Pelodiscus sinensis: one gene and its partners. The protein of the gene in region 1 interacts with the protein of each later gene in a pairwise test. Links are inferred from orthologs where the notes say so. Each region holds a gene or a part of one and is shown on either strand. Other genes may lie near its edges. The genes, in order: NTAQ1, macrophage migration inhibitory factor, ACTG1 and RBPMS.

Evidence for each region.
Region 2: the proteins of NTAQ1 (region 1) and macrophage migration inhibitory factor interact in binary tests that used the Homo sapiens proteins (3 or more experiments, as listed by UniProt). The two-hybrid records come from large-scale screens. The link is inferred for Pelodiscus sinensis from reciprocal best matches to the Homo sapiens genes NTAQ1 and MIF.
Region 3: the proteins of NTAQ1 (region 1) and ACTG1 interact in binary tests that used the Homo sapiens proteins (3 or more experiments, as listed by UniProt). The two-hybrid records come from large-scale screens. The link is inferred for Pelodiscus sinensis from reciprocal best matches to the Homo sapiens genes NTAQ1 and ACTG1.
Region 4: the proteins of NTAQ1 (region 1) and RBPMS interact in binary tests that used the Homo sapiens proteins (3 or more experiments, as listed by UniProt). The two-hybrid records come from large-scale screens. The link is inferred for Pelodiscus sinensis from reciprocal best matches to the Homo sapiens genes NTAQ1 and RBPMS.

The regions. Positions count from the first base shown.
Region 1 is NC_134712.1:19,804,308-19,811,294, forward strand, and holds the start of NTAQ1 (protein N-terminal glutamine amidohydrolase), read right to left. Parts: upstream 3,010-6,987; 5' UTR 2,558-3,009; coding exon 2,475-2,557; intron 1,479-2,474; coding exon 1,379-1,478; exon of another isoform or gene 1,279-1,378; intron 477-1,278; coding exon 426-476; intron 1-425. Other genes in the region: ATAD2 (ATPase family AAA domain-containing protein 2), read left to right, coding at 5,583-5,804. UniProt on the Homo sapiens protein: Mediates the side-chain deamidation of N-terminal glutamine residues to glutamate, an important step in N-end rule pathway of protein degradation.
Region 2 is NC_134725.1:6,003,661-6,011,481, reverse strand, and holds the start of macrophage migration inhibitory factor, read right to left. Parts: upstream 3,019-7,821; 5' UTR 2,889-3,018; coding exon 2,781-2,888; intron 1,141-2,780; coding exon 968-1,140; intron 1-967.
Region 3 is NC_134730.1:27,479,160-27,486,237, forward strand, and holds the start of ACTG1 (actin, cytoplasmic 2), read left to right. Parts: upstream 1-4,058; 5' UTR 4,059-4,200; intron 4,201-4,911; 5' UTR 4,912-4,924; coding exon 4,925-5,047; intron 5,048-5,152; coding exon 5,153-5,392; intron 5,393-5,684; coding exon 5,685-6,123; intron 6,124-6,276; coding exon 6,277-6,458; intron 6,459-6,560; coding exon 6,561-6,704; 3' UTR 6,705-7,078. UniProt on the Homo sapiens protein: Actins are highly conserved proteins that are involved in various types of cell motility and are ubiquitously expressed in all eukaryotic cells.
Region 4 is NC_134715.1:5,179,114-5,186,378, forward strand, and holds the start of RBPMS (RNA-binding protein with multiple splicing), read right to left. Parts: upstream 3,017-7,265; 5' UTR 3,009-3,016; coding exon 2,571-3,008; intron 1-2,570.

The DNA of each region.
Region 1 (6,987 bases):
CTTACTTTGCTTAAGAGCAGGCAAAGGGAGTTGTTGCCCTGGGCTCAGTAATTCCCTTTAAATTGGCACGCCAGGTGGCTCTGAAGGCAGAGGAGGGGGGCACTGAGAGCTGGCTTCTCAAGCCCCACCCCTTCTGTCCAAGACCCATCCCTTCCCAGAGTGCACAGCCACTGCTCTCACCCCCCTTGCCCAGAGGCCCTCAGAAGCTTTCAGCATCCCTGCTTAAGAGATTTTGGTGAAGGACCTTGTCAAAGACTTTCTGAAGGTTCTGGTACACTACATACACTGGATCACCCTCATTTGCTGACACCTTCAAAGAATTCTAACAGGTTGGTGAAGTCTGATTATTTTTATTGCTTAACATGTTGGTAGTACTAGAACAATTAAACATGGTACAAGAATCTATATAGACCAGAATGTCTTACCCAAATCACAGGTTCATCTCCACGTCCTGATTGTTGCTTCCACAGTGGTATCTGCAAATTACCAGTTAGAAGCTAATGTTAAGTAAGCTTTAAAAAAAAAAATCTACAATTTGTCTAATATGAGATGATAAAATTAGTGTTTATCTGTGATGCAACACGTAAGCTTTTATCAGATTGTTTTTTAACTTTTGAGCTTAAACTTTGGGCATTGTTTTGGATCACACAGACCATTCAGTCTCCTCCGCTGACTGATAGTAATAAAGGAATCCCTGCTATCCCATTCTCAGGGAGGTGATACTTCTCCAGATGTCCACCCCAAGGGACAGACTACCATACATGACTAAAAGACGTGCCTTTTAGGTTCTTTTCAATATCTGTGTGACCAGGGGGCCCAGGTGAGCTACAGGGGTCTGGCCACATTTGTGCCTGGATTAGGGTTACCAGAGTGTTTCAGAAAAATACCGGACATACATGATCTCACATTGGGGATGAGGGACCAGTTACAGGAAGCAGGGCTGACCAGGAGGGAGAGAAGGGGAAACCGGCCAGCGGGAAGCGGGGCTGGCCCGGGTGCACGGAGATCCCGGGGTGCTGCCCGTCCCGCACACGGTCTTGGCAGGGTGCACAGGTAAGTCCGGCCCTAGGGATTCCATCCCAACCTGGCACCACCCACCTCCTCTCTACTGTGTAGTTGCATACTGCCTGGCCAATAGACACACTCACACAGTGTGAGTGTGTCTACGAGCCAGGCAGTATGCAACTATGTATTGTTACTCATGATAATAATAAAACTTACTTAATTAGAAAATACCAGACATTTATATGTCCGGTATTTTCTCAATTTGTTTCCTAGACAGAAAGCTCAAAACTGGACACATGGCAAACCTAGCCTGGATCCATCTTTCATTCACAGTAAATCGGTTTTGATTCAATAAGGCAACTTATCAACTTACCATCCTTCTTTCATTGGATATGAAAACAGCAAAAAATTCTTCTAAAGGATATTGATCATAGCTTCTGATGTATTCACAAAGTTTCCAAACATTTTCCTCACTGTAAAAATACAAGGTTTTTTTTGTCCCCAGTTCTTGTTTTATTTCTGATTTATACAATAAAAACAGCATGGCTGTTATAACTTTCCCACTTTTGGATTCATTTTTCTGTTGAAGACTTTTTCCCAGCTCCTTTCACACATGTATTTTTAAGCTCTAAAATGTAGGTTCAAGCCTTTAAAAAGGTTTTACACAAATAATTCATAGGTTTTTTTGGCTCTACTATTAGACAGCAAGAAGCATAGCTTGGTTTACTCTGTCATGACATGCTTTAATACCAAATGATTGGTATAGTTAGTGTTTTGTCTTTTCCTTACTGTTTGTGGCAAAGTAGTTTTGATTAAAGTGTCAACAAATTAGGTTAAATAAACATTTTACCTGGAAAGATACATGTCATCAAGTGTATGAAACAACTTGACAAATATAAAATTTTAAATAGACTTCCATCTGATCTTAGTGACATATTAATTTTATATATATATATATATATATAATAGTTTAGCACAATTCTAAAGTAATAATCGTGTATATAACATTTAATACTACTATTAATAGTTTTGCACAATTCTAAATAAACTGTCACTGATAATAGGACAGGATGCACAAATTATTAATGGAACCATAAATTATGTTCTGATAAGCTATTCAGAAAGCCATACAATGATCTTGTATATTGTTATTTGTCAGTAAATCATCCTCCAATCATCTTGGTTAACCAGTACTATGAGTGTCCTAACCAATGCATCCTTTTTTCCTAGAATATCAAATGCTATCATAAGAAAAATAATATTCTATCTCCAGGCTGTTATGACCTCATTTTCTTCTGCTTTGCCTCCTGCAAGAGTATGTACAAGTTTTCTAAAGAAAAATGGAAATATGGGAGATTCCAATGGAAAACAATGACTTTCAGTACATCCACTCTTTGTGCATTAATTCCTTGACTAATGAAAAAGAAGATTTACCCAGCCACATTTCTTACATACCTATTACTACTTACCAATAGCAGCTGGTATACACACAAGCATGCCGAGCAGGGACAGCTGGCTGGTAACCTGCAGCTCCTACTTCTGTCTGTTCCATATGCGACCCTCATCCAGAGATATGGGAGTGCTGGGTTTAATAGGCTAATAGGCTCATACACCTCCCCCAGCTGTATAAAGCACCGGCTCGCTCAGGAAGTGTTTATGCCGGAAGTTAGTGAGTTACAAGCAATTTCTTCCCCCAAGGAAATCCGGATGTTAGTGCTTTCCTATGACTAGGAGCTCAGGCAGGCAGGAGGGAGGGGTTTTATCTTGGATACGAAACAAGATAAGTTTCTAATTGCTCTATTAAACCCCACCATGTTACATCAAAGGCAGGAGAGAAGGGGTCAAGTTGAATCAGAAGGGTGGGAAAAGGGAATTTTTTAACCCAGAATAGGTTGCAAAATTTGAGTCAGGATGAGCAAAAGGGACGTTTTAGCTTAATGAGATGATCCAGAGGCTGCCAAAACAAAGGAGAGGGGGTTTGAGTGGGGAGGTGAGATCCTGAACTTACAATGGAAGGGAGGGAGAGACCAGAACAAGCCTTGACAAGAGGGCAGGGCTGGGCTGGGCTAGCTGATGAAAAGGGAAGATTAATTAAATCTGCACCTGTTAGTGAGGGAAAGGCTGAACATGAGCCACAGGAAAATGCTGGGGATGAAAAGGAAACCTGTTCTCAAAGTGCATAGAAAACATCCCCAGAGAAGTATTTTTTGTCTTAAATGTACAAGGCCAAACAGCTATTTCAAAAGCTTCAGAGGGGTAGCAGAGTTTGTAACAGGAAAACCTTAAAAAACAACAAATAGTTCAGTAGCACCTTAAAGACTAAGAAAATATGTAGATGGTACATGTAGATGTCGCTTTTGTGGGCACAACCCACTTCTTCAGATGACCAGAGTGTTGGAAATTCATATCCAAGAATAAATAAGGGAGGGGGGAGGAGAAGAAAAAAAAGGAGGGGCAGAAAAAATGTGACAGTGAGTAGATAAGCTTTAGAGCAGTGGTCCCCAACCTGTGGAGGTTGCCGGGCGCCAGGGGGCGTGGCAGTTCGCCCGCTGGGCGCCAGGGGGCGGGGATGGGGGCGGGGTCCCCCCATAGCCATGCGCCCGAGGCCGGAGCCCCCTCCCCCCCAAGCTCCGTGTGCCCGGGGCCGGCGCCGCCCCCCTCCAAGCGCCCGGGGCCGGGGCCAGCGCCCCCCCTCCAAGCGCCGCGCGCCCGGGGCCGGCGCTCCCTCCTCCCCCCCCCCAAGCGCCCGGGGCCGGCGCTCACCCCCCATCCCCGCCCCCCGGGGCCGGCGCTCACCCCCCATCCCCGCCCCCTGGGGCCGGCGCTCACCATGCGCCTGGAGCCGGCTCCGGCACTGTGCGTGCACCACGTGCCCAGGGCCAGGCCAGCCCCGAGCACGTGGCGGGCGCACACGAATGCCCCCGCGGGCGCCATGGTGGGGACCACGGCTTTAGAGAGATAGCCAAGTTAGTCTGTAACAGGAAAGACTTAAAAATCAAGAAATAGTCTAGTAGCACTTTACAGACTAAAGCTATTTCAAGTTCAATATATCCATTTCTAGTTGTCTTTTTGTTAAATTAGTGGAAAGAGATCAAGCCCATTTAAAGTCCTGAAAACCTGTGGAAACTTGCATACCCTGGCAAAACCAGTGGCTGCACAAGGGACTTTAATCTCCTGGCCATACAACACACAAAACAGCATACTTTTATACAGTGTTTTTACAGGTAGCACCACACAAAGTCAGGAGGTTTAATAATGTAAAATACTTTTGATATTAAAAAGCTGTATTCGTTGTTGTGCAAAAGTGCTGTACATTTGTCTAGTAGCTATTATGTCTTACCCCATAGTTTGGCAATGGGCAGGACTACCTTCAGGAGGGACTGTGTAGAAAGTTTGACATTTTTTCCCCTAGCACCACAAAACATTTCTTAATTTATTTCCAGGCCGTGACACTTCTGTAAAATGGTGTCACATCAAAACTACAGCAAGTTCTCAATTTTTTATGACTGAGATCACATCAGCATTTTGGCTGTTTGGCTATGAGCTTTGTAGCACACAACTTACTTTTTATTGAAGTGTGCTAAACTTTGCATGATTTTAAACTTTTTGAGAGAATGAAATCTTAATATTCTAAACTTCTATTTGGCTTATTGCACTGGCAGTGGGAAGCAAAATAGAGGAAGTGGGGGCAGGACTTTGCTTAAACAGTTTATTTTGGAGTCAAAATGTGATTATTGCACTCCTGTGATGGAATATGCTAGCTACTAGAGTTATGTCCCCAAGATGGGCCTAGGATAGCCAAAGATCAATATTTTCTAAAATAAGGAATTTACAGATGGGCTGCTTACTAAATCAATGCCCAAACCTCCCCCAATACGAGTTTTGGGGTGTCCACTATTTTTAAAAATCAAACCATAATCCAGGTGTTAAAAAGTGGAATGGGAGTCTAACTTTAGGTCCTTGTTTTTTTAAAAAAAGAGCTTGTTGCTACAAATATTAAAAAGTTGGACTGCAGATGTCACAGGTCCTAGCAGATCACACAAAAGCCAGGTCCTTTACCGTAGGCTCTTGTAAGGACTGCAGCTGCCCCACGCCGGGCTCTTGCTCTGTGATTGAGGAACAGCTGTCTGAAACACGGGCAGTGTCCCTTTAAGGGACGGGCATTTGACTCAGTCCCATTTCAGCGGGAAACACTGGGGCGGGCTGCTGAGCGCCTTTCTTGTAGCCAATCAGAGCCGGGTAAAACAGTCTTCCAACTTTGCACGCGCCAAAAATTCCAAAAGGACGCATCACCTATGCGTGTCTCTCCGCCTCCCTTCGGGAACTAACCTACAGGGAGAAAGAGTCCTAAGAGACAACCGGACGGAACGGTCCGCCTCGGGCTGGCCGAAAAGTCAACGAAGGAGTGTAAGAGCGGGTGCCGTATTTCACTAGTGGCGCTACTCTGCTCTAATGAGAGGTAGAGGCGGAGGGATACGACGGGAGGGCGGTGACGCGGCAGCCCGCGGTTTGTGGCGCCAGAATTCGGAGAGAAGCCGCCGCCCCCTTCTTCAGCCGGGGACGCGCCAGCTCCGGCCATGGTGATGCTACGGAGCAGCACGGGCAGCGGCAGTCCGCTCCAGTCTGCCGCGTCCCGGGGCAGCCAGGCGTCCCTGTACGACCTGATGGACTCGAGTGCCGAGTTCCTGTCCTTGACCCCCGCGCCGCGGAGCCGCAGGATGGGCACCCGCTCGGCCACAGCCGCCTCCGGCAGCAAGTGCGGCAGAGGAGCCAGGAGAGCGCCGTCAGCAGCGGGCAACGTGAGTACAGGGCAGCCTGGCTGTGCAGATCGAGGCGGATGCCGCCTGGAGCGCACGAGAACCCCACCGCCGCACTGGCCTCCGTGGTGAGGGGCGCTGCCAGTGCGCACTAGGTGGGGGAGGGGGAGCTGAGCTCTCCTGGCCGCGGGCGAGAGGGGTGACCCCACCCCGCCTGCAAAAAAATAGAGGCGTGGCCTGCTAAACTCCACCCCCTGGTGCTGGGCGGAGTAGGGAGCCAGCCAGAGTGAGGGCTGAGGGAGCTTGTGGTGGCACGTCGAACTCGTCTTCCTTATTCTGGGGTTGTCTCTGCCCCTGGCTCCTTCTGGCTTTTGGTAACCGGAGTAACCGCGAAGCTGTGGTCGCTCCCCAAGGGCTGGCTCCAGAGCCTCCTGCTCACCTACTGTTTAAGGGTCAGAGCCTGGCCCTTAGGGTTAAAATTGTGTGGCTTTAAGTGCGGGGATAAGTAACATAGGTGAGACAGCGCTTTACACTCTTTCTGATGTAACTTGGTGAGGTCATAACTCTCTTACTGTGGTTGGCTCTGTTTATCTCCTTGCGGCCACTGTTTTGTTTGATTTCAGGATAGTTAATGTTACCTCAGGAGATAACTCATCTTTTTAAAAGCTGAGGCCAAGGCTACAACGATGAAATATTACCGAGGTGGATTGTGCAGATTAACACATAATAAAGCTTAAAATTTTGTTAACTGCAGTCATTAGAGTTCAGTTAACACTTTAAACAAATCAGTGAGGGCAGATCATGTCTTTACACGATGATGGAACCTGCTGAAGCATAAAATTGTAGAGTGCTAGAAAGGAGCAATGAAAGTCGTTTGGTTAGAAAGTTAAACCAGGTCAAAATGCTCCACACAGATCTGTCCCTCTGTTAACTCCTCTGGAATCCATTAAATGTTTCCATATCCACAGTAAAACCATGGGGAATGCCACTCTATAACTTCAACTTTGTAGGAAAATAATTCGTATATGAAAGTCAAATGTTCAAATCTATTTAACTACTAAATGACAGTCTGGACATTTCTGGTCTACGTGACATTCCAACTGAAGGTGTATGTATGTACATGTCACTTCTGAAATGCAAAACAACATGTTTTTCAGTTAATTTCACAGTAGTCATAAAGCTTCATAGTTGCATAATTTAAATTTTAACAGACCTAAATTTTAAA
Region 2 (7,821 bases), on another chromosome or scaffold:
CCCACTTGCTGCCTCTGACAGAAGCAGCAAGGGGTGGGGAAGCGACTAGTCGAGTTCCTATTTGACTACCCGATAAGCATTTGCTTATCGGATAGTCAACTAGTCGCTAACATCACTAATCCCTGCCTCTTCACACATAGGCAGCAGCAGCAGCTCCTCCTGGTTGCCACTGGGTACTGCTGCTCTACTCCCTTGCTGGCTGACAGAACAGCAGCTGCTTGTCAAGTGGCAGAATTCTTCTGGGTCTCCTTGCCTACCTCCAAACTCCCCAAGGTGCCCAATGATCATCCTTCATGCCAGGAAAAAAAAAAAAAAAAAAAAAAAGAAGAGGGCACTGAATATTATTCATTTGTGTATCATATTTAACCCTAACTCCCAAGGCTCAGATTATACTATATCAGCCAGCCACTTGGGATTATAGGTAGCCTACTAGACCAGTGGTTCTCAACAAGGGGTATGCAGAGGTCTTCTGGGGATACATCAACTCATTTAGATATTTGCGTAGTTTTACAATACACTGCATAAAAAGTACAAGTCAAGTCAGTACACACTACAATTTCATAAAATGACTTGTTTATAGGGCTGTATGATGAAATATATATATTCAATATTTATATTCTCATGTATTTTATAATTCTATGGTAAAAATAAGAAAGTAAGCTATTTTTGTCTGATTTTGTAAGCAAGTATTTAAGTGAGAACACTTGCGGGTATGCCAGAGACTCCTTAAAGAGGTACAGTAATCTGGAAAGGTTGAGAGCCACCTGAACCACATTAATCTGGGGCCAATTCATGGCACCAGCACACGACTGTTGTGAAGTCTGAAAGTTGTATCTCTCTATTCACAATAGATAAGAGTTTTCCCTTGGGTGTTAATAAACAACAGCCACCAGGGAGCATAATAGAGAATCCAAAGAAATAATTTAGGCAAGCCAGTAATTTGAATGTCACTCTAGTGCAGCCTTACCTATCTGCAGGTATGTGCAGTTGTTTAGTGAGCAGGTCACACAACAGCTTGGTATAGTTCTTGTTCTGCTGGCCTCCTATCTTGCCAATGCTGTGCAGGCTGCAAAGGGCACAGGGATCCGTGGAGCCTCCAAAGGACATCAGCTGATCTGCTACAATGTGCACAGCTATGTACTGCGAAACAAAATCAACTGTTAGTGAGGAGGTTAATATTCCGTCCTCAATCTCTCTCCTCTGAGGTGTATTTAGTTGGAATCCAGAGAGCAGGCTTGTTTCCTGGGATTAGCTATGGCAAGCACAAGTGGTGTTTAATTGTACATTTCTAAAGCATCCACTGCAATAGTACAGTACCTTTGCCAGACACATAGCGATGTAGCCCCCCAGCTTAATTTTAAATAATTCTGTGAAGAATGACTTAGTAATCCTCTTCATTGACGCTAATATTCAATAGGACTTGCTTTCTAGCCAGTCAATGTTCAGCTATTGGTAGGGCTATAATTGTTAGCCTCTATACATGGCACATTACAGAAGCCACTGACCAATCAGCTTGCTCCCATAAATCTATAAAACTTTAAGCACAGGAGGGCTCTGTTCTCTTGCTTGCTCTACCACAGATTCACTGGTGTTGACTGTTGGTACACCAGCCTTTTGGTTCTCATTTTACACCAGTACCACTGAAATAGTGTGACTGCAATTCATGGAGTAAGCCCATGGCCACCTCATCTGCTAAGCCTGCTTACAGGCATGTTAGGATAACAGAGTGATCAAAACAATAATGGGCTGTCTACTCTGATGCTAATAGAGCTTTAGCTCCCATTACTGTGAAATGGAAGGGACATTCACAGAAAATTCCAGCAGATAATAGCCACTGTATCACCTAAGGCAAGCTACTTGGCTACTCTATACCTCTGCTAAGAGAAGCCAAAGATGCACACCCATATTTGCAAAGTGTCTGAGAGCTTTGGGGATGAGAAGCCTCTGTATGTGCAGGATATTAGTGGAACATTTTCTTGACTTAACAGGATATGAAACTTTGCCTGGAGCTGAGTCACGATCCTTCTTACCCATTGCTGCCCTCTGTGGCAAGTTTTAATGTCCCATCGGGCTTTCTTGCAACACAGTCAAAAAATGGTGACCTCAGGTAGCATTAGTCTTTTGTACACACCATTCTTTAATAGCGAAGACCCATTTTGATCTTGCTTTTGTGGACCTCATAGAGCAAAATACTTGGTGACAGGAACTTGCCAGGTTAGTAAGGTTACTTGCCAGGTTATACACCCATTGCAATGGGAACCTACCCATTTTAACAGGACCGTTCCCTCCCACAAGCACACCTCTCTATGGCAAACTGGGATAGTTTATTCGCTTTAACGAGCAGATAAGCATGCGAGAACCCGCCCAAACCATGCACCCCTAGCGCCTGGCCTTGTCCACGAGGCAGTGTAGTGTCACTTCTGCCTATGAGTCAGACGCACAGTCATTTATTCCACAGCGGAGAAGCAGCCAGCCCCCTGGGGCCATGCAAGCACGCTTCCACGTGCTGCAGGCCTTCCATCCCCGTCTCGCCTCACTCCCCCAGACAGACAACCCAAGCTGGACTAAAGGCTGTCCAGAGAAATTAGAGATCTCCCCTTTACACTGAGAATAGTTACAAGAGACTCAATTCTGTTTCCGCTAGGGTGAGAAAGAAAGCCCCTAGCGGGGAGACCAGCACCAAGGCTCCCGGCTAACTCTAGCATCCGTCGGCGCTGCGACTTGCCCTTTCTGCAAGCAACCTGCAGCGCCGGGATGGAGTTACAGCCTCCGCAACTCACCTGGGCAGGCTTGCCGGTCGCCTTTGCTAGCTGCTGGGTGAGCTCCCCCGTCAGGCTCTCCGGCACCGCGTCCTTGCTCACGTTGGTGTTCACCACAAACATGGGCATCTTGGAGCCTTGCAAAGAACTGCCCCTGTCTGCAATGCGGACCCTTTGCCCCTGCAGCAACCCGTTCCGCCGCTGCCGCCGCCGCTGCTGCTGCAAAATGGAGCTGAACCGGAGACCCTGCCCTCCTCCCTCGCTGGATGCTCCGAAATGCAGCCCATGTGATCAGCGCTAGGCCAGATTCTTAAAGGGACAGCAGCGCCCCAAACACGGGTCCCTCTCCGCAGCGCATTTTGGCAACTGCACAATCCGTTCAAGCGCGGTCCTGGGGCACCTGCTGGATGTGAAGTGTGTGTAGTTTCCCCTCGTCATTCCTGCCGGGCGTCTCCCCATGCCTCCCTTTGCTCAGGCATTTGCTTTATTATTATTTTATTAAATAACTGTATACATTCTATATCAATAGAATTTATATCCCTGTAACTATGAAATGTGTAGATTCTGTATTTTATATACTGATAAATATTTATATACATATTTATATTGCGGGAATACCCAAAGGCTCTCCTATGGACCCCGTTGTGCTGGGCGCTGTAAGAACTGGCCCTGGCTCAGATAAGCCATTGTATGAGGCTAATATCAGATAAAGACTTATGCTGTGAATAGGTCCCGCCCATCCTCTGATTTCAGTGGGACTATGGATGGTGGGGTGACACCTACCATAAGCCGGTCTGCAGGATGGGGGCAAACACGCAAGTTCTACCCAGAAAGTGCTCTTTTATTTGCAAAATAAATGGTAGCCCTCTGCACTTTTTTTATATACAAACATGTGTGTTTGGGTTTGCCTGGTTCTCTTCCCCCCACCCCCATCACATAATGCAAACCATGGCTTATGTCTGTGTTGCTGGCATGAGTTCTACAGTTCTTCTCTTTTGCTTTTCACTCTTACATAGGAAACGATTGTGGCCACGATTTCTCTATTGTGTCCTGTCTTTTGTTTCAGCTAGACCAGACTAACAGGGCTGCATCTCTATCACTAGTCTATAGTCTGTGTTCTTGTTGGAACTGAATTATGCAGACGTGCTCTGATCCTGGCTCGTGCCTGAAGAGGAGTGAGCTGCCTTTATGTAGAAGCCAAAGGCTGCTTGGGACATGAGCCCTCTGCTGGGCTGCGTGCTGAGATGCACGTAGCTTTCCCCAATGCTGCTCAGGCAGACTGGTAGGTAGCATGTCATCCCCAATTCGCACTAGTCAGATGACTCACAAAATGGAGGGTAATACACACACACACACACACACACACACACACTATATATATAAATGGAGGGCCACAACACACACAGACAGAGCCAATATATACATAATCCTATAATAAGTAATGACCCACAAAACCAGTGTACAATAAATAATGAAAGGCAGCGTCTGGGTCAAGAACACGGGTGAATGTTTTAAGATGTTTTTGTAATACCATTTAGAAAAATGAGCTGTCTCTATTATTCCTTGCAATTGCTTAAATCATTCTCCTTCTCTGCTCCCCAACCTCCAGCTCCCTGAAAGATTGCAGGAAGGTAAGGGTATTGCTTCTGGGAATTTATGCAATACGGGAAGAGGGGGAGGAGCGTGCTGCAGTCAGTGACTGCACCCCAGATATTCTCACTTTCCCTGGTCTGCCAACCCCAAAACAGTAGAACCCTAGCCATGCTGCTGTTCTTGTACGGAGAGGATCTATGGTCTTTCTCGGGAGTGATGCTGTGGATGTACTCTTCTCCACTTTGGCGGGTTTCCCCTACACACTGAGAGGCAATGTTGGGCCCTCTCTTTGGATTTCAGGTATGCATAGGGCTTGCATGTTCACTAAAACTGCCCATGTGCATGTGTAACTCACTTGGAGTGTGTATATGTTGCACATGCACACACGAGTTTAAGCATTCATTTTTGGTTACACAGCATACTTTATAAAATGTGACCTGTGCCTTTTGTTCTCACTTAAGCATGGCCTCATACAATAGAGACTCAGAGTTATGAACACCAGAGTTATGAACTGACCAGTCAAACACATACCTCATTCGGATCCAGAAGTACATCTCAGGCAGCAGTAGAAACAAAATAAACAAAAAGCAAATACAATACAGCACTGCATTAAATGTAAACTTACAAAAAAAAAGTTAAGCAGCATTTTTCTTCTGCATTGTAAAGTTTCAAAGCTGTATTGTTAGTATTCAGTTGTAACCTTTTTGAAAGAGCTACCATAACTTTTTCTTCAGGGCTGCATACATTTCAGAGTTACAAAGAATGCTCATTCTCGAGGTATTTGTAATTCTCAGGTTCTACTGTATTTTATAATAATAATAATAATAACAATAAATAATAAATCTCAGGAAGAAAGGTATTGAAAAAATTAAGATGCTGGAATCGCACCCAACATTTTTTTTAATGCAATGCAAAGCAGTTAGGTCCAGATCCTCAAAAGGGTTAAGCTCCTAATTAACATTTAGGGCCGGCTCTAGATACCAGCAAATCAAGCACATCCTTGGGGCAGCACAATTCCAGGGGCGACATTTCCAGGTAAGCAGACATCCCCCGGCACTGCCCAGCCCCGCCCCGCCCTGACAATTTAAAAGGGAGCTTGGCTCTGGTTGTGTGTCCCCGGGAGCTGGCTGCGGAGCGCGGCACAGCCAGGCTCTGCCCCTCCCTGCTGGCTCCAGTCCTGCGGCGGCCCCAGTTCCCTTGGCCGGCGAGAGACCGCTCCCTGCCGGCTGCCCGGCTCGCTGTGCCCGCCCCGCCCCGTGCCCCTCTGGCTCCATACCACCCGTTCCCCACACCGCCCCTGCACCCCGCACCCTGCTCCCCTGCACCCCAGTCCCTTTGTTCTCCCTGTTCCCTTCGTCCCTCTGGCTCTGCGCCACCCGTTCCCTGCGCTGCCCCTGCACCCCAGTCCCCACATCTCTCTGGCTCTGTGCCACCTCTGTACCCCGCAGCCCCTTTTCCCTGCACTCCTCTGGGTCTGTGTCCCCCATTTCCTGCACTGCTCCTGGACCCCGATCCCTCTGCCCCTCCCGTTCCCTGCATCCCATTCCCTGTGCCTCCTCTGCACCCCGCACCCTGCGCCTCCCATTCCCTGTGCCACCCCTGTATGCCCACACTGTTCCTTGCACCCTTCTGGCTCTGTGCACCCCAGCACCCCAGTCCCCTTGCTCCCCCTGTTGCCCCTGCCCCTCTGGCTCTGTGCTGGCTCTGCTGCCCCGGTGGGTTGGGAGTGAGGGGTGCTTGTCCATAGGGCGGGGCTGGACAGGGCAGGGAAAAGGCTGTTGTGACCCAGCAGCAAGTGAAAGGGGAGAGGGAGTTTACTTGAAGTGCTTTTGCATTTATGGAAAAAAAATAATTAAGATTACATTTGCTATTTATAGGGCTAAAATGCCGGGACAACAAAAATGAAAACAAACAAACAAAACACTGCAAAGTGCAAACGTGTAAAAGCCAACAAAAAAAGGGGGGCGGGATTTTTTTTGCTCGGGGTGGCAAAAAACTAGAGCTGGCCCTGCTTCCATTCCAGTCTTCTATGTCATTGGAAATTGCTCAGCTGCTGAAAAGCGGGAGGGGGGATAAATGAGTGGAGTTTGTCCATTTGCTGTCTCTGCACATTCCAAATCCTAGGACCTGATACTGCCCTTTTGAAGCAGATGTGATCTGCTTTCCTCTAAGCAGTTACCTACCTACCGACAACTATGGGTTTTTTTTAGTGTAAGTACAATTTTGGACACACTTTTGCTAATACAGATACAGGCAGGGTTCGCAGGGTCGCCCTACCGTTAGTTTAAAATGTGCCGACGGAGGTTATAGCTTCACTCTACAGCTTTTAGCCACAAGTCTGTGTGGATATAGCCCTGTCACGAAAAGCAGGGCCAGCATGAGGTGTGTGCAGTCAGTTCCCCCGCACATGGCCCTGCACTTTATTATTGGCCCCTCTGTCCTGGGTGGCGGATTCTACCTAAGGCATGTCCCAAAGCTGTGGGCAGCACATCGCAGTGGTGGCCTCCCCCCTGGAGGGGCCCCCAGCCCACAGGAGGAGGAAGTTGCCATGCACACTGGTGCTGAATGTGCCCCATGTGCCCCCATGCCGGTTGCTGCCTTCCCAGGATCACTTTGCTTCGCTGGGGGAGCAGCTGCTGAAGCTCTGCATGGGCAGAGACAGAGCTCTGGGCTGATGCGCATCGCTGGTGGCCTGGGCCACAATGCCCCATTCAAACTAAACCCGATAGATAATCACACCAGCCCTGGATAGAAGTCAGCATGTGTGAGCCCAGTTTGTTGGCACTTGTGTTGACTGAACACTTGTGCCCCCAACAAGGGGGTTCCGCTTCGGGGACAGCTGAGCTCTCCTGCTGACACAGCAGTGTTCACACTTTCACTTGCTGCGGCAAAACTTTGTCCTTCACGGAGGGGGGTGGGGTTAAGCACCCGTGGCTGATAAATGTTTTGTCAGTCACATGGAAGTGTAGACACAGCCTGATTCTAAAAGAAGGGCAGAGCCAGGGAAGCCATGCTATTCAAACTATTTTTAAATACAATTTAAAATCAGTTCAAGTTAATTCTGTTTACATTTTGTTAGACCGGCTACTATAATCAGGCCATAAAGCATATCTAAACTTCATTTAGAAGCCCAGATTTTTACCTAGTAGAACATACGTTCCTAAATTAATTTTTAATTTCTCCACACAGGCTAACGTGACTGAACTCTGTTTAAAAGGAACCATTTTATATATTAAACAGCATTTTTAGGAAGCACATTTCCTTAAGTATTGTCAAAGGGGGGCTGGTCCCCTTAAACAAAAGCGGTGAGGAGTCCTGTGGCACCTTATAGATTAACCAAAGTGTTGGAGCATAAGCTTTCGTGGGCAAAGACCCACTTCGTCAGATGCAGGTAGTGGAAATTTCCAGAGGCAGGTATAAATATGCAGGCCAGGATCAGACTGGAGATGACGAGGTGGGTCCAGTCAGG
Region 3 (7,078 bases), on another chromosome or scaffold:
TTTCGCTCAATGAGTTTTGCTGCTATTGGGGGGGGGGGGGGCGTGAGGGTTTCTCAAAAATCAGAAAGGGGGCGTGATGCTGAAAAGTTTGGGAACCACTGCTCTAGGCCAATCAGAACCCACCCCACTGCCCTATGGCTACTTGCTTCATAGCTCCGGCCCGGGAGGGAGAAAGCAAAGCAGCGAGAGAAACCTTTGACCGGTGCTCGGGGGCGCTGTGTCTGATGCCTGGCAGCTGGTGATACCCTGCGGGCGGCAGCCTTGATGCCCGTTTGCCCCCCGAGCGCTCCGGCAGAAGGGAGGGTGCTCCAGGCAGCCATTCGGGGCAGGCTGGCATTGTTCTTCGTATGTGCTGGGGTCTCGTCCCCACTCGGACGGGCAGAAGGCGTGGCGGTCCCCGGGGGGTACTGTGCCTGGTGTATTTCGAGGGGGTCTACAGGCTGATGTGGGTCGGGGGCACGGGTCAGACGGGTTATCTGAGATGAGTGTTCTGCCCCCGCTCTCGTCACCTGGAGCCCAGGGCTGCCCTACCCAGGATCTGAGTCTGATAGGGAGTTACTCATCCGCGCTGACGAGTGGGGATTGGCGGAGCTGGCAATCGGCTTCCTAGTTTGGACAAGAGGAAGAGAAACAAGTTACTGTCCGGGGGAGGAGGCGCGTCACGGGCACCTACAGCAGGGCTGGCTGGTTAGCCACCTCTGGATGGAGCCCGTGGGGATGGGAAGCGCCCAGCAGTTAACCTGTCGGGTGCCAATCTTGCTTGTGTGCCACAGGGATTTGCAGGCCATCCAGACCCTTGTCTGCAGAGCGGGTTTGCCAGGCCATTGCGCCGGGCCGGGAGAACAAAGAACAGCAGGCGTGGCCCCCCCTCCCGCCCTCTCACCCCAAAGGCCTGGCTGGTTTCCATCAGCACCTCTAGAGCACGGCTATAAAAGCCTTTTAGTGCCGAGGGGATGAATAATGGCTGTTTCCTCTGGTGATTAACCCACCCCCCGCCAGGCCAGGGCCGGCAGTGATGGAAGATGACGTGTTTTTCCCAGAGGCGCTGGAGGTGTCCTGGGCTGGAAGGGGAAAGGCAAAGAGGACCGCCAGCCCACCGCCACCTGGCTATTCATCGCTAATATTAGGAACCCCCCCCCATTGTAAAGAACTCGTCCACATAGTAACTTCCAATCCCACCCCACCTACATGCCACATGCCAGGAAATTCTCTGAGCTCCACCCCCTCTGATTTTTTTTTTTTTTAGAGATGAGCTGATCTGGTGTCCACTCCTGTGTATTTCATTCCTCCAGCTAATCCAGGGGTGTGTTGCTTCGTTTGTGTACACTGGCCTGCCAGAACCAAGCTCACCTTTCCTGCTTCCAAGGTAATGGTGGAGTTTGTTTATGTAGCACCCACATGTGCTCAGGGCTTTACATGACAAAGCCCTTTCTCCAAAAGGGTGGAGTCTCCCTGACAATGAAGATGGGGCTACAAAGATAGTGGCCTGCTCTCCAGAGGAGCCTTTTCCATCACTCCGAGCAGAGACTACACAACAACCTGAGTTGTATTCTGCACGCTGCGCTGCACACAATCATTGTCACACAACAGCCCTCCAGGCAGGGCCTACTCACGGTTCCAGTGGTAACTAGATGTCAGGGGTCCAGCCCTGCTAACTGGCTTGTTGTGACCTTGGAACAACCACTTCACCGTTCTCTGCCTCCATTTACCCACCTGTAAAATGGAGCTGAAGCTAGCTACTCCCTCAGCTGCTAGGCAGGAGAGTCCAGCAATGAGCCTCATCCAGCCTTTTGTTCCAATCAAGTCCTGCTGTCCATTCATTTGCATCATACAGCCAGATTTCAATCGACAATTAGTGATTATCTCCCCAGCCTGACTGACCTAGATTCCTGGGCAACAAAGATGCAGATCCCAACCTACTGGGCTAACCTCTTCCCACCCATACAGGTATGCTGAGAGTTGACAAACACATCCAAGTCACTTTGTACCCCGGTGTAGAACAGGGATGCTCTTTTCGGGGCCTGCTGTGTCATGCTTCACCCCAGAGATGGCTGCATTTCACTGCTGCTGTTTGCATACTCAGTACAACTGTACCTAGAAAATCACGTTTACCCGAAATCCCTGTTCCATGTCCCCTTGTTTTTAATTACATTCACTATTTCCCCCTTTGTCCATATTCATGCAGCTCCCATAATCCCCTAGCTGAGGACCCACTGCACTCTACAAGAGGGCTGGGCACTGAATAAACCTGAGTCACTTGGGGTTTGCTTTTTCTTGCAACTGTGATGCAGGAGGTATTATGTCCCCAGCAATGGCTCCCTGAGGCACCAGAAGAGCCCATGAAAACAACCACAAATGCAAACATTTCTTAGCTTGTTTGGAAACCCCTCTGAAGATGGCAATCGCGATTAAAAACAAATGCAAACCCGGGCAACCCACAGCTAGAGATGCCCGCCCGTCACTGTAAGGTGCCGTTGAAGCCCTAGCAGGAAAGAGGCTGTAAGATTTAAACCATCAAGTTGCAGGCCTTGATTGCAGGGCACTGGTGAGCATGCAGCCCAGGTAGCTCCCCAGGGGCGGCGGGGTGGCGCTGGGCACAAGGTGGCAGAGGCACTGCTAGAGCGAGAAGAGGGATTGGACGATGGGGTTACTGCTGCGGCTCATTAGGATGAAGGTGCGTGGCAGGGTCTGAATGCAACTGGTTAGCAGCTGAGACACAATTACAATACGCTGTGCCTGGGACACGCCATACCATGTCTGGGGGATGCGCTGCCAGTGCCTCTGGGACATGGGGGCACCCCTCCTGGCATGGGGCAGTGATATGTGATATATTTGAGTCAAACACTGCATGACCCAGGGGTGGCAGCAGGGCACAGCACAGGATGCAGGGGTGCCGTTGCGGAGTCTGGGGGTGCAGAGCATGGGTATACCAGGGAATGCAGAGCATGAGGGGGCACAGTGCAGGGCCTGGGGGTGCAGAGCATGAGATCCTGGGTTGCCAGTGGGTGCAGAGCGCAAGGGCTGGAGGTGTCAGGAGGCACAGGGTGTGGGGGCAATATTGGGGCACACAGCGCAGGGGATGTGGGGGGGATACTGGGGGGCACAGTGCAGGGTCCAGAGGGAGGGGGGCTGGTCCAACTGGGGGGGCTCCCGGGGGCTGGCTCAGGGCAGGGCCTGGGGGATATTGGGGGGCTCCCGGGGGCCGGCTCAGGGCAGGCTCGGGGGGATATTGGGGGGCTCCCAGGGGCCGGCTCAGGGCAGGCTCAGGGGGATATTGGGGGGCTCCCAGGGGCCGGCTCAGGGCAGGCTCAGGGGGATATTGGGGGGCTCCCAGGGGCCGGCTCAGGGCAGGCTCAGGGGGATATTGGGGGGCTCCCAGGGGCCGGCTCAGGGCAGGCTCGGGGGGATATTGGGGGGCTCCCAGGGGCCGGCTCAGGGCAGGCTCGGGGGGATATTGGGGGGCTCCCAGGGGCCGGCTCAGGGCAGGCTCGGGGGGATATTGGGGGGCTCCCGGGGGCAGGCTCGGGGCAGGCTCGGGGGGATATTGGGGGGCTCCCAGGGGCCGGCTCAGGGCAGGCTCGGGGGGATATTGGGGGGCTCCCGGGGGCAGGCTCGGGGCAGGCTCGGGGGGATATTGGGGGGCTCCCAGGGGCCGGCTCAGGGCAGGCTCAGGGGGATATTGGGGGGCTCCCGGGGGCAGGCTCGGGGCAGGCTCAGGGGGATATTGGGGGGCTCCCAGGGGCCGGCTCAGGGCAGGCTCGGGGGGATATTGGGGGGCTCCCGGGGGCCGGCTCAGGGGATATTGGGGGGCTCCCTGGGGCCGGCTCGGGGGGGTATCGGGGGGCTCCCTGGGGCCGGCTCGGGGGGGTATCGGGGGGCTCCCGGGGGCCGGGTCTCCCCGCTCCCGCTACTGGCCCAGGCCGCGCCCCCTTCTCCATGCAGGCTGCGGAGCGCGCTGAGCAAGGGAGGGGCGGGGCCAGGCCATCCAGCCGCCCCACGTGGCCTGGGCCGCGCCAGCCAATGGCCGCGCGTGTTTCGGAAAGATCTCCATATATGGCTATGTTCTCGGCCGGCGAGGCGGGGCCGGCGCCCCCGGGTATAAAAGGGCGGGGCTGCGCGCACCACGGTCTCACTCAGCCGGCGGCAGCGGACCCAGCAGCCTCGCGTCCCGCAGCACCGAGCGGAGCCTCCTGCCCACAGGTACTGCCCGGGCCGCGGGGCCTGGCGCCCGCCTGCGCCGCCCCCCTTCGCCAACCGCAGGCCGCGGCGGCGCGCCCCGGGCTCCTTCCCGGCGGGCCGGCTGGGGCGCGCGCCGCCCCCCCCTTTGGGGGTTCGCGGTGGTACCGCCCGGCCGGCCGTTTGAATGGCGCGAGGCCGTGGCCGTGTGCGGGCTCTGGCCAGGTAGGGGCTGTGATTGGTCCCCCTGGCGGGTGACGTAATAGAGCGGGAGGTTTGTTTGAATGGAGAGGGGTGGGGCTGCTTGTCGCTCTCCGCGGGCAGAGGGGCGGGGCTGTAGGCTAGCCCGTTGCTCCGGCAACAGGCCCCTGGCGCAGCGGGCGGGCGGGGGGAGAGGACCTGGCTGCGCCTCGCGCCCTGCCCGGGGCTGTAGGCGGCTGAGCGCGTGCTGCGGGCTGGGGGCAGGGCTGCCCTCGCTGCCATGGGGGGTGGCGCCTTTGCAAGCTGGGCGGGGCAGGCACGTCTGGCTCCAGCTGCTGGGATCCTGCAGGGCCAGGCCTGGGTGCAGTTAGTGACCCCCTGCAGGTGGGGGCCCCCCCGGCCTTGGCTTGCACCTGCAGGTGGCCCCCCCCCCCCCCCCCCCCCCCCCCCGGCCTTGGCTTGCAGCACAGACCGAGCTCTCCTGGCTCAGCCTGTGCTGGACCCGCCCTTGACCAAGGTCTCTCCCCTCTGCAGCAAGATCTCCACCATGGAAGAAGAAATTGCAGCGCTCGTCATCGACAATGGCTCTGGCATGTGCAAAGCTGGCTTTGCAGGAGATGATGCCCCTCGAGCCGTGTTCCCCTCCATTGTTGGGCGCCCGAGACACCAGGTGAGCAGCCAGCCACGTACCCGTGAAGTGAGAGTGGCCAGGTGTAATATTGCTGGGGGTTATGAAAAGGGGCCTTGACACTTACGGCCTGCCTTGTTTTTAAAGGGTGTCATGGTTGGCATGGGGCAGAAGGACAGCTATGTAGGCGATGAGGCCCAGAGCAAGAGAGGTATCCTGACTCTCAAGTACCCCATCGAGCACGGCATTGTCACCAACTGGGATGACATGGAGAAAATCTGGCATCACACTTTCTACAATGAGCTTCGTGTAGCACCTGAAGAACACCCTGTTCTGCTGACAGAAGCTCCCCTGAATCCCAAGGCCAACAGAGAGAAGATGACACAGGTACACTTGCTGCAGTAGTCTGTGATCTGCCTTCCTCCCTGTTTCACAAACCATCTCTTTCGTTATGGATCTCTTTTAAAACTCAAGTGTTCTTTCAATATTTTCAGGGCTCTGTACACCTCCTGGCATTTCCTTCCTGAAGTCTCAGGTTTCTTTTTTTGTTTTCTTTCTGCCTGCGTTCTTTGCTTTTCCTTTCCCAGCACATCAGTTTTTGCATGCAAGCATGTTTTCAAAGATTGGCTTGAGGCGAGGTTTTCGTACTACCTGTAGTAAAACAGAACTTTCTTTGCAGATCATGTTCGAAACCTTCAACACCCCAGCCATGTATGTTGCTATCCAGGCAGTGTTGTCCCTGTACGCCTCTGGTCGTACCACTGGTATTGTTATGGACTCTGGTGATGGTGTTACCCATACTGTGCCCATCTACGAGGGGTATGCTTTACCCCATGCCATCCTGCGTCTGGACTTGGCTGGCCGAGACCTGACAGACTACCTCATGAAGATCCTGACAGAAAGAGGCTACAGCTTCACCACCACAGCTGAAAGGGAAATTGTGCGTGACATCAAGGAAAAGCTGTGCTACGTTGCCCTGGATTTTGAACAGGAGATGGCTACTGCTGCTTCATCATCCTCCCTGGAGAAAAGCTATGAGTTGCCTGATGGTCAGGTGATCACCATTGGCAATGAGAGGTTCAGGTGTCCAGAGGCCCTCTTCCAGCCATCCTTCCTGGGTAAGTATCTACCAAACCGTCATCTGTGCTGGAACACAACAAGCCATGAGAATCGCTGGACTGCCAAGTGCTAGCTTTGCAGTGCTGACTGCAATCTAAAGCTGGTTAGGGGAGGGGTTGGGTAACTGAAGTCTGATCACTTCTGTCTCTTAGGTATGGAATCCTGTGGCATTCATGAAACCACTTTCAACTCCATCATGAAGTGTGATGTAGATATTCGAAAGGACCTGTATGCCAACACAGTATTGTCTGGGGGAACCACAATGTACCCTGGGATTGCTGACAGAATGCAGAAGGAAATCACAGCTCTGGCACCCAGTACGATGAAAATTAAGGTAAATGGCTCTCCTCTTTCCAAAGAGCTACTGAGTCATAGGAGGAGGCTGCCTTTCCAGATATTCTTGACCACTGACTAACTGCTTCTCCTGTCTTTCTAGATTATTGCTCCACCTGAGCGTAAATACTCCGTTTGGATTGGTGGCTCCATCTTGGCGTCTCTCTCTACCTTCCAGCAGATGTGGATCAGCAAGCAGGAATACGATGAGTCTGGCCCATCCATCGTCCACCGTAAATGCTTCTAAATGGACTTTTCACTAGTATACATTTGCCTGGGCAAATTTATACACTTCATGCTAGCCTCATAAAACTGGAATAAGCCTTTTTTCAAAAACTTGCCCTTGGGAAAGTCTGTAAGACAAATGTCAGTGACTCGAAGTTGCTGATTTGACCCTGTATTCAAGTTAACTGTTCCCCTGGTACATTTCAGCACCTACCCTGTATGTATCTGACCAAACCTTGGTACAGGTGGCATCACTCATGTGGCATAAATGCTAGGGTTAGCTTGTATTGGTAGAAGAATGTTCAAGTATCTCACTATGGGCTAGTGACTCCTGGTAATTCTAGGGTTTGAGCCTAGATTTGTACAGGGTATTTGTCAGACTTCCAATACAAAGTG
Region 4 (7,265 bases), on another chromosome or scaffold:
AAAAAGTGAGGTGGGGCTGGTGAGCCTGACCTGGCTGGCCCCAGAAACACACTGAGAGGAATTAAGCAGAGTTACCAACCCTCCTGAAATGCGGCCAGGCAGTAGGTGCGGGGTGTGCTTTGAGAGAGGCCTCGCCTCCCGGGCGTGCCTGCCTCTGCACTCCACTGCATGGAGACCCTATGTAACCGCACTGCCCTGGCAACGCACAACAGCATGGGCCTCTCCCCTGCTCACCCTGCCATGCAGTGCTTCCTGGAACGGGCGTATGGCACTCCCCTGCACTGCTGCTGTCTGGGTGCTGTCCTGGGATCCCCCAGCCGGGCAGGGCAGGCAGTGCCAGCCAGGCACACAGCCCCAGAGCGCCCGGGGCAGGGCAGTGCCAGCCAGGCACACAGCCCCAGAGCGCCCGGGGCAGGGCAGTGCCAGCCAGGCACACAGCCCCAGAGCGCCCGGGGCAGGGCGGGCAGTGCCAGCCAGGCACACAGCCCCAGAGCGCCCGGGGCAGGGCGGGCGGTGCCAGCCAGGCACACAGCCCCAGAGCGCCCGGGGCAGGGCAGTGCCAGCCAGGCACACAGCCCCAGAGCGCCCGGGGCAGGGCAGTGCCAGCCAGGCACACAGCCCCAGAGCGCCCGGGGCAGGGCAGTGCCAGCCAGGCACACAGCCCCAGAGCGCCCGGGGCAGGGCGGGCAGTGCCAGCCAGGCACACAGCCCCAGAGCGCCCGGGGCAGGGCGGGCAGTGCCAGCCAGGCACACAGCCCCAGAGCGCCCGGGACAGGGCAGTGCCAGCCAGGCACACAGCCCCAGAGCGCCCGGGGCAGGGCGGGCAGTGCCAGCCAGGCACACAGCCCCAGAGCGCCCGGGGCAGGGCAGGCAGTGCCAGTCAGGCACACAGCCCCAGAGCGCCCGGGGCAGGGCAGTGCCAGCCAGGCACACAGCCCCAGAGCGCCCGGGGCAGGGCAGTGCCAGCCAGGCACACAGCCCCAGAGCGCCCGGGGCAGGGCAGTGCCAGCCAGGCACACAGCCCCAGAGCGCCCGGGGCAGGGCAGTGCCAGCCAGGCACACAGCCCCAGAGCGCCCGGGGCAGGGCAGGCAGTGCCAGCCAGGCACACAGCCCCAGAGCGCCCGGGGCAGGGCAGGCAGTGCCAGTCAGGCACACAGCCCCAGAGCGCCCGGGGCAGGGCGGGCAGTGCCAGCCAGGCACACAGCCCCAGAGCGCCCGGGGCAGGGCAGGCAGTGCCAGCCAGGCACACAGCCCCAGAGCGCCCGGGGCAGGGCAGGCAGTGCCAGTCAGGCACACAGCCCCAGAGCGCCCGGGGCAGGGCAGTGCCAGCCAGGCACACAGCCCCAGAGCGCCCGGGGCAGGGCAGTGCCAGCCAGGCACACAGCCCCAGAGCGCCCGGGGCAGGGCAGGACGGTGCCAGCCAGGCACACAGCCCCAGAGCGCCCGGGGCAGGGCAGTGCCAGCCAGGCACACAGCCCCAGAGCGCCCGGGGCAGGGCAGTGCCAGCCAGGCACACAGCCCCAGAGCGCCCGGGGCAGGGCAGTGCCAGCCAGGCACACAGCCCCAGAGCGCCCGGGGCAGGGCAGTGCCAGCCAGGCACACAGCCCCAGAGCGCCCGGGGCAGGGCAGTGCCAGCCAGGCACACAGCCCCAGAGCGCCCGGGGCAGGGCAGTGCCAGCCAGGCACACAGCCCCAGCAGCGCGCAGGGGGACTCAGCCCGCACACGCTGGCTGGGGGCTCTAGCTGGAGCCGAGCGGCGCGGGGCCACGGGAGCTGAGCGCTCCAGGGCACCACGAGTCCCGCCGGCCGAGCCGCCCTGCGCGGCGGGGGGCAGCGGGAAGGCGCGGCCCCGGAGGTGGCGCTCCGCGGCCCGGGCGCCGTCCCCGCAGCGGGCGAAGGCGGGGCCCGGCCGGAGCGGAGCAAACACCTGAGTGAGCCCGGCGGGGCGGCCGGAGCGCCCGGGACAGACCGCGGGCACCTCCGGAGCCTCCTAGCTACTCCCCAGCCCCGCTCCCCTCCGGGATCCGGCCCCTACACCGCTCCCCCCGCCCGGCCCCCCTACACCGCTCCCCTCCCCGCCCGGCCCCCCACACCGCTCCCCTCCCCGCCCGGCCCCCCTACACCGCTCCCCCTGCGCCCCAGCCCCGCTCCCCTCCGGGATCCGGCCCCTACACCGCTCCCCCCGCCCGGCCCCCCTACACCGCTCCCCCCAGCCCCAGCCCCCCACACCGCTCCCCCTGCACCCCAGCCCCCCACACCGCTCCCCCTGCGCCCCAGCCCCCCACACCGCTCCCCCTGCGCCCCAGCCCCCCACACCGCTCCCCCTGCACCCCAGCCCCCCACACCGCTCCCCCTGCACCCCAGCCCCCCACACCGCTCCCCCTGCGCCCCAGCCCCGCTCCCCTCGACGCCCCGCCCGGCCCCCCTACCCCGCTCCCCTCTAGCCTCCCCACACACCCCGTCCCGCTCCCCGGCCCCCGCACCTCCTGCCCCGCTCCCCCCAGTAGCCACACTGCCCGCCCGCCCCCCCAGACCCTGTGCCCCGCTCCCCCGGGGCCCCGTCCCGCACCTCGTCCTCGGGCAGGCTGGGCTCGGCCGGGCCGCTGTCCTTGTCGGCGGGGAGGCTGTTCATGCTGCCGTCCCGGGGCGCGCGGAGCCGGCTGCGGAGAGGCTGGTCCCTGCCGCTGGCAGCAGCATCCAGGCGGGGCGGGCGGCGCTGCTCTGAGCCCCCGGCGGCCCAGCCCGGCCCGGCCCGGCAGGGAGCAGCGGCGCGGGGGCGGGGGCAGCCAGCGCGGCCGCCGCTGGGGCAGGAGTCCGGGGGCCGTGCGCCTTGCGCGCTCCGAGGCCAGCGCCTCCCGGCCCCCTGGCGTGGGGACGGGGCGGGGCCGGGTGTGGGGCCCTGCGCGCCCGGGGCCCGCTCCCTCGTGGGCTGCCAGTCACAATGGCGCAGCCCCGAGGGCAGCCTCACCGCCGGGGGGTGGAGGGTTCTGCTGTTGTGGCCACTCATTCAGCCCCTAACCCTGCTCCCTTGGGCACCAGCCGCCAATGGGCCTCGCCCCCTGGGGCCCTGGCACCTCCCCCCCATGTACTGTTCTAAGGCACCAGGCACCCGCCGCCAATGTTGCACATCGAGGTGCCCCACTCGCTAGAGCAGAGGTGGGGAACCTCAGGCCCGTGGGCCGGATGCAGCCCCTGAGGCTCAGGGCTCCCCCCCCCATCAGGGAGTCCCTGCCGCCCCACCATGGGGCTTGAGCGCACAAAATCTACCAGGCCAGGGCCCCCTAGACTCTGCCCAAGGAGAACGTGGGGACTGTCTGTCTCCTTCTGAGTGAGCCCCCCATCAGTGAGGGTTGCTCAGGTGTGTGGGGGCTCAGGTGTGAGGGCCTCCCCAGCTGCCATTGGTCAGGAAACAGCCAATGAGACTGCAGATCTGGTGCCCGGGGTGGGGACAGTACATGGAGTCCCATGGCCACCTGGCCTAGGAGTTAAACCTTCTGCTGGCCGCTTCCGAGGGCCCAGTACAGTTTCTGGTGCCAGGACAGACAGGGGGCCTGCCTCAGCACCCTCACTGGCCACCCTACAGCACGGCACCCCAGTGCCTGGCATCCCACGACCCAGCGCTGGGCTGCAACGTGTACTTTGAAAATCACAGGATCACATTATAAGGAGCAACTTTACATTGAACCAACTTTGCACTTGTTCTGAGTTTCTCCTCTTGCATCCTGAGCAGGAGAGCACTGGTGCAGTCCTGGGCTATGCTGGATCTACACTGAGCCCCACTGAAGGCTGGGCACTCCCCTGACAACAGGCTATGCCTCCACAGATCCCATTGCAAGATCTAGCCATAGCCCCCCACATTCACATATTACTTCCCCCTTACCAATGTTCCCTCTTTTTCCATACCTGTGCAGAATAAATGTTATGTGCACCACGTCACGAGCAGCTGTGCACCCATCAGTAGAAACACTTGCTGTGAGATCTCTGCTAATGAGCTGGGCTGCACCTGAATGTCTCCTGGATTGCTTTCAGGAAACACTGATTCGCAACCCCCCTTGGTCTCAGCTCAGCCCATTGAGTGCAGTCCAGAGGTGACAGTAAGCAGGTGTGCCCGGGTGTGCAGCTCCAGCAAGGAGCTCTGGAAAGAGCTGGCAGGGACCAGGTTGCAATAGGACAGTCCCTGTAAGACACTGTCAGTTGGTTTCAACGCTGGCAGTCTGAGCTCGGACCAGAGTGGCTGTGCCGGAAGCAGGGCAGAGGAGAGACTGGACAGTCCCCCCGCACTCCAGTGCCCTGACACCGGGGGCAATGGAGAGAGTCCCTCAATTGTCAAGGCCGAAAGAGGCACCTCATTGAAACTCAGCCGGCCCCTGCAGAAGAGAGAGATGTCACACAGCACAGTCCCAGCACTGGGGTGGGGACAGACAAGGGTGACAAATGGGCCCGTGGGCTCCCCCCCAGCATACAACATATGCCTCTTTCCCTAGAGGGGTACCTATCCACCCTCCCAGACCCCTTCCCAGCACCCAGCTTCCTTGGTACACTGGTGGCACTTACAGAACTTGGCCAGCACGGCAGATACACAGGGCAGCACAGGCTGTCTGTCTCCATGCGCCAGGGGATGCTTGAAGGAGGGTCCAAAATGAAGCATCTTCCCCGACCTGTGGGTGTTGCTTTGTTCCCTTAGAGGTGACTGTTGGGGGTGACCTGCCCTGGGCCCCAAAAACACACTACTCTGCTTTATCTTGAATACTGCATACAGATGTGGTCACCACATCTCAAAAAGGATATCTTGGCACTGGAAAAGTTCAGAAAAGGGCAAAAAAAATGATGAGGGGTTTGGAACAGATCCCATATGAAAAGAGATTAAAAAGACTGGGACTTTTCATCTTAGGGAAGAGGAGATTAAGGTGGGGAGGATGATAGAGGTATAGAAAATCATGACAGGTATGGAGAAAGTAAATAAGGAAAAGTTTTTTACTTGTTCCCATAACATAAGAACTAGGGGTCACCAAATGAAATTAATGGGAAGCCGTTTTAAAACAAACAAAAGGAAGTTTTTCTTCATGAAGTGCACAGTCAACCTGTGAAACTCCTTGCCAGAGGATGTTGTGAAGACCAGGAATTTAAGGGTATGTCTAGACTACATGTCTCCATTGACAGAGCCATGTAGATGAGTTTACTAGACATAGGAAAATGAAGCGGCGATTTAAATAATCACTGCTGCATTTACATCAAAATGGCCACCATGCTGTGCCGATCAACTGTTTGGCGGCACAGCGGGGCAGTCTGGACGTGCCGCGGTCGATGAGGGAAGCCTTTGTCAACCGCTCCGGTAAACCTCATTTCATGAGGCATACCGGGGTGGTCAACAAAGGCTTCCCACATCGACCGCAGTGCATCCAGACTGCCCCGCTGTGCCATCAAAAAGCTGATTGGCACAGCGCGGCGGCCATTTTGATGTAAATGAAGCAGTGATTATTTAAATCGCCGCTTCATTTTCCTATGTCTAGTAAACTCATCTACATGGCTCCGTCGACAGAGCAATGTAGTCTAGACATATCCTAAGGGTGCATCTCCGCTGCACCCTTACCTTGAAATAAGCTACGCAATTTGCGCTAATTGTGTAGCTTATTTCGAGGTAATTTCAAAATAGCTTATTTTGAACTTTGGAAATAAGGTACTATTCCAAAACATCCCTTAACCCTTGTGGAACGAGGTTTACAGGGATATCAGAATAGCGAGCCCATTATATTTCAAAATAATTGGCGCGCTCAAAAGACACAGATTAGCTATTTCGGGATACTACCGAAATAGCTTTGCTGTGTAGATGTAGCCTAACAGGGTTCAAAAAAGAGCTAGATTAAATTCATGGAGGTTAGGTCCACCAATGGCTATTAGCCAGGATGGGCAGGGATGGCGTCTGTTTGTCAGAGGCCGGAAATGGCTGACAGGAAAGGGGTCACTTGAGGATTCCCTGGTGTGTTCCCTCGCTCTGGGGCATCTGGTATTGGCCACGGTTGGAAAACAGGCACTGGGTTGGATGGACCTTTGATCTGACTCAGCGTGGCCGTTCTTATGCTCTTGTGCTCTTCTCTCTCACATTGTGTGCACACGCTTCTGGGGCTACCTCTCTTATTGCACCTCTGCACAAATGGACGAAAGACAATTCGCATCCCATACAAAATATTTCTCCAGGCCTAATGCAATCTCAGGCCCAAGCACATGGCAGTATGCTGATTGGGAGGGGGGTCGTGTGTGTAGGACTGTTATGAATGATATGCTTGACTCAGGGCTAGCCTTACCCATATGCAGAATATGCAGCTGCGTAGGGCCCCCAAAAATGTGGGGCACCAGTGGGTCTTAATATCCACCCACCTGCCTCTTCTTAGCGCTGTTCTGTGACTCCGCTTCTTCCGGAGAGGATCTAGTTAACGTAAAAATGAAAAAGCCAGCGCAGTTAACAGACATTGAAACTGTGAAAGAGCCATTCAAGGGAGAATGAAGTAACTGAACAGGCATTTGTCAACTCCAGGTATATACTGTCAGGTTCTGAATTTACTTTCATTCGGGTGTTGCTGAAGTGTATAAAATTCACAGCTCTAAAAGTTCTCCCCCCCCCCCGCTGCTTTGGGGCGTAGGGCCCCACAAGTCCTGAGGACAGGCCTGCTGCGGCTCGGAGTGGCTACCCCACAGGCATAGAAGGGTTAAGCAGCTGCAGTGGGGCAGAGCAGGAGACGCGAGGTGTGTCTCTTACTTCCCTGTGCTGGCGGGAGGGGGGATGAATGGGCGGATTGTGAGTGCTCTGGCTGAAAGGACCCCTAGTGAATTGCAGAGAGCTGCTCCTGCCCTGTTCACTGGCTGGGCAGGATGCCTCTGCTGTCCAGTGTTCCCCGAGCCGCACGGACCACCTGGCAGGAGTGCAGGACGCCTGGGGCTCTATGGATCACAAGGGGCAGGGGGGAGGGCTGTGTCTGCATGGGCAGAGGCTGTACCACTGGCTTCTTCCATACTGTACGTTCAGCGAAAGGGTCGGCTTCACCTTGTCTCTGGGCTCTTTCACTAACTTTCAAGCCGTAGCGTCCTATGGTCCCCTGGCTGCCTTCTTCTTAGCCAGGAACTCCTGTGCTGCTGCTGCTGCCCACGCCACTTAGAACAGCCCCTCCGCGCCAAATGGAGCCCCAGCCTGTTCAAATTTCCTCTCCAAGCCCGTCCACAGCCAGCGCAGCTCCACACGCGTCATGTCCTGCTCCGGAGCCGGGCGGCC